Oreochromis niloticus: one gene and its partner. Each later gene encodes a partner of the first gene's protein in a complex. Links are inferred from orthologs where the notes say so. Each region holds a gene or a part of one and is shown on either strand. Other genes may lie near its edges.

Region 1 (3,753 bases):
TTCCCTACTCAGGCCTAGTAGAAGCTGGATAGAAAGAAATGAATTGAGGTTGTTTACTTCTTTGTAGAGTGAAAGTACAAGACTTAGTCAGATAATCTGATGGATGGTCAGACACATAGCCTAGGCTCAGCAGGTTCTACTTCAACAGTGACAACAAAAGTAAATAAATACCTGGAATGAACCTGCTGTCTTCCTGGAGGCTCCCAGGTAGAAGGTGACCAGGGATCCAAAGGTGTTGACTGGAGATAAGAGGGTGTTAGCGCTGTGCTGCTTGCTGCTGAGAGCCTTGTACATCCTCAAGCCCAGAGCATTTAATAGCCCTGCCAAAACTGCTGTCCTCTCTGTGATGTTTTGCCTCTGTACATCGACTTTTGATGGATCCCTGTGGTCCGGAGTCAAGACTTCATTGTCAAGGGGAGCCACAGGAAGTGTCTCCAGAGGCTTAACCATGGGGGCCTGCAGGGTCTCACAGCTGACATTCTCAGCAGCAAAAAGATAGAAGGGGTGAACGTAGACTCGGTTGGCTTGGCTTCCTGAGAGGCAGCAGTATAGTAGGAGGACGAGAAGAGGTGACCACAGTCTCTGCATTTTACCTTTGGTTGGAAATTACCCTAAAACGGTTGTCTCTGTTGGTTGGAGAGACATATATTTAGTTATTTCAACCTCAATCACCTCAAGTATAACTGACCATTTTCTGTGTCAGCCCGGCTAGGAGAGCGCTGAGTTTGAAGTCTTCTGGGAATGTTACATGACTTTTTGGTCAGCTTTCATCGCAAATCAGGCTCAATCTGGTTTTCAGCTTGTATATGATTGGCTGGCAGGAACACTGGCCGCAGATCCTGCATGTCAGAGATTGATTGAATTCTTTGTGCGCTTTCTCTCCTGCTGGTCAGTGAGTGAGAGCAGACATTACCCTCGGCAACAAAGGTCGCATAGATAATGAAGACTGTGTGTGTGTGCGTGTGTGTGTGTGTGTGTGTGTGTGTGTGTGTGTGTATTTGCATATGTTCACTGACCCAAATAAAATGGGAAACTTTGTATTCTATAAAAATTAATCTTGAAACGACAGGTACAAACTTAGTGTGCTTAAAATAAAAAAACAACTTATTTATATTTTGTTACTAACTTTTTTGTGTGTTTAAATGACAATTCTACAAATACAAAACAAAAAAACTACATAAAAAAACCCAAAACACATAGAATGAAATAATCAATAGAAGTACAAAACAAACTTTCACAGCTGCATAAATGCATAATTTATTTTATTAGTGTGTGAATGTGTGCGTGAATGGGTGGATGACTGGATGTGTAAAGCGCTTTGGGGTCCTTAGGGACTAGTAAAGCGCTATACAAATACAGGCCATTTACCATTTTTACCATTTATAGGGCCAATTTTTAAGTTCTAAGTTATTTTACTGGACAGTTTTCTAAAGTCAAGTAACAATTTTCATTAATTCTATGAAGGATTAGTCTACAAAGCTGTGAAGCAGAGTGACTTTGGTAAGTGCTCTCTTATGCAAAAATAGGACTTTATCCTTTGACTTGAACATGCATAAGTGTGGACTGATGAACTCTTAGAAGCGGTGAGCAAACACTAGATTTTCATCTATTAGGACATGTACCACAGGACATGGCCTTGGTCTCTGATCAATAAAACCAGTGCACTCAATGTTCCTATACACAACCAACCTATTGTGTACCTGCTGACTCTATAACAGAGGTGGTGAAAAAAAAGGCTACTTCACAACTTATGTGCTTTGTGAGGTCCAGAAATGTGAATAGTTTTCTTGAAAATATATTTTTCATAAAATCTCTTTCTGTATATAGAAATTTTCAGAAACAAATTTTAATTTAATTTTAATTTAGATGTAAATACAAACAAAACATTCAAAGCTTTGTTGTTCGCCAAATTAAAACATTCTTGCTTTTCAACACATTTAGTTTTTAATTCAGCAAAGCACTCTGGGAAAAAAAATCCCTCCTCATCTGTAACAGTTCAAACTACCACACAATCAAAAAGCAATTACTAAAATATAGGAAAAAAAAATTCTCTTACCAGATGGGTCTGCTGTTGTTGCTGCTGAATGAGGTGCTAAGTGAGATCCTGACTCCTCTGCACTCTTACTTTAACCCACCCGGCCAGCTGTGTGCTCCCACTCTAGTTACTGATTAACCAAAGTACCATTGAGTCAGTCAGGGGCTCTCCTGTCATGACTCACATCCTGCTTTGTACAGACAGAGCTTGAGATATAGATAAATAGGTTTGAGAGTAGGTTTGGGAGACCACCCAGTGCCCTTTTATATAATGACTTTAGTAGAATGGTGCAAGAAAATCCTGAATGGGGTGAAAAGGAGAGCTCAACTTCTATAAAGAAGTGGGAAAAGGAGGGATAAACAGTCTTGTTTCAGTTTGCCATCTTTCTAGGGTGATACACTGAAAAGTCACCATATTGCACATGTATTTATTCGTATGGGGGGATGTTGTGTTCTGTATTGATTACGTATGTTCTTTGGAGTTTTTGCTCAACCTAGACGTCAAAGAGGAATTGAGGAAACAAGTTTCATTCAACCCTGAGATCAGCAAATTTTAAGAATAATAAGATTTTCTTGCTTTTTTTTTTTTTTTTTTTTTTTTTTTACCATAATGGATCATATGTCTCACATTATTTATTCCATATAATGCATATTTTCTTTTTAGTGTACTTTTAAAATAACACTCACTAAGCCAGATTAACAGAGCGACTCTGCAGACATCTCTGTAACATTTTAATGAGTCTTGAGGGTGTTATCATTGGAACAAGAACTATAAAATAACCCCACCTGTTCTGGGAAAAGAGCAAACACTTTTCAAATGTTCAAATAGCTCTTTATGAGACAATGCGTATCATATTTTTTTATCTTAAAATTATTATCTGTGACTACAGTACAGAAAATCCGTCACACTCACACCTGATTCAACAGGACAAGGCACACTAGATTTTCTCAGCGGAGAGAACCATCATCAGGTCAAGTGTTTTACACTCCTGCTTTTATCTTTAACAAACACTGTGACACCGTTAATGGGATAAGAAATTTTATTTGACCTTTCACTTCATGTAATGTTTATAACAGTGCGAAGGATTGTTCTTTTATTTGTCACTATCTCAGACTAATACAGTATGTCTTTTCTAATATCACAGTCTCTGCAACATTCCTTTAAAATATCAAATAATTTTCAGTTCCATTCAGATATTTTTTTAAATAGTGCCTCAAGATGCTTTAAGCTACAACAATAGAAAGAAAATCCCAATAATCAGATGAACCTCTGTGAGCAAGCACTTGGCAACAGTAGGAAGGAAAAACGTCTTTCTAACGGGCAGAACCAGACTCAAGGAGGTCCAGCTATCTGCCGCAACCAGTTGGGAGTGAGGAGAAAGAGAAGAGACTCAAGGGAGACAGGACACGCTGTGGGAGACAAAGCCAGAGCTAAATAATGACACATGGAGAGTGAAAAGGAAGTAGAGAAGAAATGCTCAGTGCATCATGGCAGCCTAGGCCTATTGCGACATAACTATGGATGGTCTAACAGTAAGCTTTATTGTAAAGGAAAGTTTAGACTCTAATCTTAAGGTAGAGAGGGTGTCTGCCTCCTGAACCTGAATTGGAAGCTGGTTCCACAGCCGAGGGGCCTGAAAGCTGAAACTCTAGATCCATGAGTAAGCCAGCAGTCTGGGAGCAAAATACTCTGTGAGGATAATATGATAATAAGATATG
Region 2 (3,753 bases), on another chromosome or scaffold:
TAAGTTAATTCTTTCGTATGGCACTTCCCACAGTAAAAGAAAACATCATAATATTTTTTCAACTGGTTTATTCTGGATATAACCAAATATAATAAATGACAAAGAACTATGAGAAAATACACATAAATTTTTTTTTCTATTTTCTCACAACACCCTTGTGTCTCACCCAGATCCAGATCCATCTCGTACGATCTTGGGTTTTTTCTTCTAATTCTAACTTTTTCAGCTCAACAAGTAGAAATTGAAAAAACGTGATCCTAAAATCTAACAGATGTTCTGACGAGACATTATTTATGGTTATAGTGTTTTTCTCTCTGATTGATCAATTCAACACTTGGCAGCAAGTTCATTTTTTCACTGCAGCATAAATATCGTTGACAGCTTGATACATTTTCTTCAGCATCTAAATTATTGTCATTATTTTTTCCTCGCGCAAAAGCCTTTCATATAAAATGTCAGTTCAGTTGATTTACTTACACCCACCTGCTGTAGTAGATGGAGAAAACTTCTTCTTTGAGGACGTGTTGAGACATGATACGATCGAACACCGGGGTTATGCCATCAATGGCCACGTTGGGGTATCCCATCCCCAGCACTCCATCAAACTTGGCAAAGATGAAGGGCATGGCAGACAGAGCCGTGGCTTCAGCAAACACTTGCACTACTGGGATACCACCAACCTGCAGCAATAAAACACTGCTAGTCAAAAGTTTAAAGTGTAGTGTGCAAGAGGAAGTTTAAAAAAGAAACAAAACCCATTTAATTTGTAGGTTTCTGACTTGAAACTCACCACAACCACATCCTCACTCAGGAATCCCCTGACATTTCCAGAGGCATACTTGATGGAAAATCCTGTTCCATTCTCAATGTAAGTCCGGGATTTTGAAGCATCATACCTGTTGTGAGTAACTGAAAGTTGAAAAAGTATTTAAGTCCAACAGCGAATGTTTACCTGGGAAGTTTTAATGAACAATGTTCCCTAAATATTGCATCTATTTTTTCGGGGGGGGGGGGGGGGGGGCAGTGAGCATAAACTAACGTTGGCATATTGTCATCTTCTAAGTTCATTAAGTTCACTAAGTTCAGAAAAAAAAAAAATGTTTGAATATGCACTTACAACATGCAGTGGAGAATGGTGAGCAGCTTTGCGAGGGCACCCACAGGTTGGCTGAGCCCGTGTCAAACACCACATTGAACATCTGGGCCGGAGAGCCAATACTGATTTCTCCAAAGTACTGCGTCTATTGAAAGTGGAAAAATGTCCCACGTCATTGTTGTTTGAATAGTTTTTCAAAGGTTTTCCCACGTCTTAAATGTCACTTTTAAGGCCAATGACAGAGAAACGTGGAAAGTCTGACTCATACAAAGAGAATATTTCAAGAGACTAATTCAAAGGCAAGTCCATCTGCTGTTGTCTTGAAGACATCTCAATGCTCATCCAAGAGCAGAGATGAAACCTTTAATCATAGAGGCTAAAGTCTGTTTCTATCTTCAGAACTGAAATAGCAAACCCAGGTGGTTTCAGTGCTACATTTTCTATCACCTCTATCATCTGTAGCTCTAATCAATGGATCACATTAAGCTTTCTCACATCCAAATAGTTGGTTAGTGGCGTGGGAACAGTTCCGTTGTTGGTGTCAGCTATGCTCTTCTGGGCCAGCTCAGTCATCACCTGCTCAACAGAAACCCCCAGCTCCTGCAGAGTCTCTCTGATAGATGGCATCTTTTTCAGGGCAATTCTGAAACCAGAGCGGGCAAGGGGAAACATTCTGAATGAATCCAAAGAGGAAACTCGATAGCTAAGGACATGTTAAAGAGGTACATGGAGTTTATTTTCCGTGCTATGTATCTATTACATATGTCTGGTGATCATCTCAGTATGAACCTTTAACAAAGTACAGACCGCTTTGCTCTCAGCACCTAGCCAAATAGATGAACAAAAACACATGTGAACCCAAATGCTGAAATCATTAGCTTTTGTAATGAATCAATAAAACACATTTGTTTTCATGTCCTTATATAATTTATGGTTTACTGTCATTACATTTCTCCAGAATGTTATCTATAATGCTAGTGCAGAAATCCAGCGAGTTAGATCCTTTAAGCAAATCATGTAGGCATGCAAATGATTCTTTTTTTTACCTTCTCAAAGCGTGGCTCGTGGTCACTGTCAGTGATAGAGCAACCAAATATATCCACTGATTTATCAGTAGTGCCATGGTGACTTCTCAGATGGCAGGAGGAAAATCCAGGCCGCTGATGTCGGTTCTGTATACAAAAGTTGGTTTTCCTGGTTTTGTGAAAGCTGTCTCTTCTTCTCTCTCGCTCTCTCCGATATCGTGCACCTCAACTCTTTTTATACCATGCCCTCTTTTAAGTGCTCTCACCCATGGGCCCGGCTCTGGTTGGGAGCTTTCCTGGAGGTGACCACTGGAAAACAAGCCCTCTTCCCTCCCCTCACCTTGCACTCTACCCCTCTGCCTTGATCACACAACCTCTTCTGTGATAAACAGGTCCCAGTGAAAGATGTGAACTCTGACCCTTTAAAAAACACTGATGACAGAAAGCAGGGGTGAAGAGGTCTGCAGATTGGTGACGTAGGTAACCTGGAGACCTTGTGTGAAGGGCTGTGAGAAAATTCGAAGCAACCAAATGATGCTTTGAGTTGTCAGGACAGATTAGCTTGTTTACTAAAGTCAAATACAAGCCACTTTAAATCCAGATCTCGCTGTGCACTTTTACATTATTTCTCTAATCTGCTGATGATTTCATTTTATTAGATCAGGGGTGTGAAATTAGTTTTAGTTCATGGGTAGCCTGCCCAGTGTGATCTGAAGCAGACCAGACCAGGAAATCTAATCCATAATAACCCACATAAACACCTACAAATGTTTCCCTTTCACTTTGGATTAAAGAAGTGCATTTTTGAAAAATGTTCACATTTCTTGAACCAACCATTTACATAGGTCATAGGAGATGTCTTTGTCAAAACACGTGATAATCAAGACAGAATTGAGAAATTGAGCACCTGTGTAACTCAGTGAGTGAGCAGGTACCAATATGCACCATGGCCCAAAAGTAGTGGCCTGGGTTCAAGTCTGACCCGTGGCCTTTTGCTGCATGTCTTCCCCTCTCTCTGCTTTTCTTTTTGTCTCTACTGTCACTATCTAATAAAGGCAAATGCTAAAAAAAATAATATTAAAAAAAGTTCTCTGCAATTTTCTGGCAAGTGATGTAGGACCCTTTGGCAAGCCAGCTGTGTCTAATAACATTAGATGGGATTTTGTTCTTGAAAATAACAAAAACAATGATAATAATAATGATAAAAAAACAAGATTAATTTTTATTAACCAAATGTTCCTATTAAAATCCAGTACGACTTCAGTTTTTAATCAAAGGTCTTGTTGTGGTTTTTAATGTCTGCATTTAACACACCTTTGAATTTCTTCTATGTGAAACAGTCAGGTTTTACACGTCTGCAGTCTTCTTCTGATGTAAATTGAGAGAAGGGAAGGACAATGCATATCTGTAAGTTCAGTTCAAGGTAGGGATGCACCGATACCGATACTGGTATCGGGTATCGGTGCCGATACTGTAAAATGTGTGCGTACTCGTACTCGTAAAAGTTAACCGATACCATGAACCGATACTCATAATTCCCATGGACTTAAACGCCACGGTAACATAAGGTGTTCACAGTTGATGTTATGTGATGTAACTCTACCCTGAATATAATTTGCCCTGTAATATGTC

What was found. The genes of interacting proteins can lie anywhere in the genome.
Region 2: the proteins of agt (region 1) and ren are in contact, whole or in part, in a crystal structure (PDB 6I3F), measured with the Homo sapiens proteins. The link is inferred for Oreochromis niloticus from reciprocal best matches to the Homo sapiens genes AGT and REN. Residues at the interface, in NP_001369746.2 of Homo sapiens: Asp25, Tyr28, Ile29, His30, Pro31, Phe32, His33, Leu34, Val35, Ile36, His37, Asn38, Glu39, Lys91, Leu92, Ala95, Met96, Met99, Leu100, Phe103, Arg107, Arg148, Ala151, Ile152, Gly154, Gln353, Gln354, Asn355, Asn358, Glu391; in NP_000528.1 of Homo sapiens: Tyr81, Met82, Thr84, Gln85, Val102, Asp104, Gly106, Ser107, Asn109, Ser118, Arg119, Leu120, Tyr121, Thr122, Val125, Tyr126, Leu147, Arg148, Tyr149, Ser150, Pro181, Ala182, Leu183, Pro184, Met186, Leu187, Ala188, Glu189, Phe190, Val193.

What each region holds. Positions count from the first base shown.
Region 1 is NC_031978.2:13,537,194-13,540,946, forward strand, and holds the start of agt (angiotensinogen), read right to left. Parts: upstream 2,199-3,753; 5' UTR 2,057-2,198; intron 627-2,056; 5' UTR 589-626; coding exon 172-588; intron 25-171; coding exon 1-24. UniProt on the Homo sapiens protein: Essential component of the renin-angiotensin system (RAS), a potent regulator of blood pressure, body fluid and electrolyte homeostasis.
Region 2 is NC_031984.2:14,940,736-14,944,488, reverse strand, and holds the start of ren (renin), read right to left. Parts: upstream 2,423-3,753; 5' UTR 2,220-2,422; coding exon 2,143-2,219; intron 1,740-2,142; coding exon 1,592-1,739; intron 1,242-1,591; coding exon 1,118-1,241; intron 910-1,117; coding exon 791-909; intron 681-790; coding exon 478-680; intron 1-477. UniProt on the Homo sapiens protein: Renin is a highly specific endopeptidase, whose only known function is to generate angiotensin I from angiotensinogen in the plasma, initiating a cascade of reactions that produce an elevation of blood pressure and increased sodium retention by the kidney.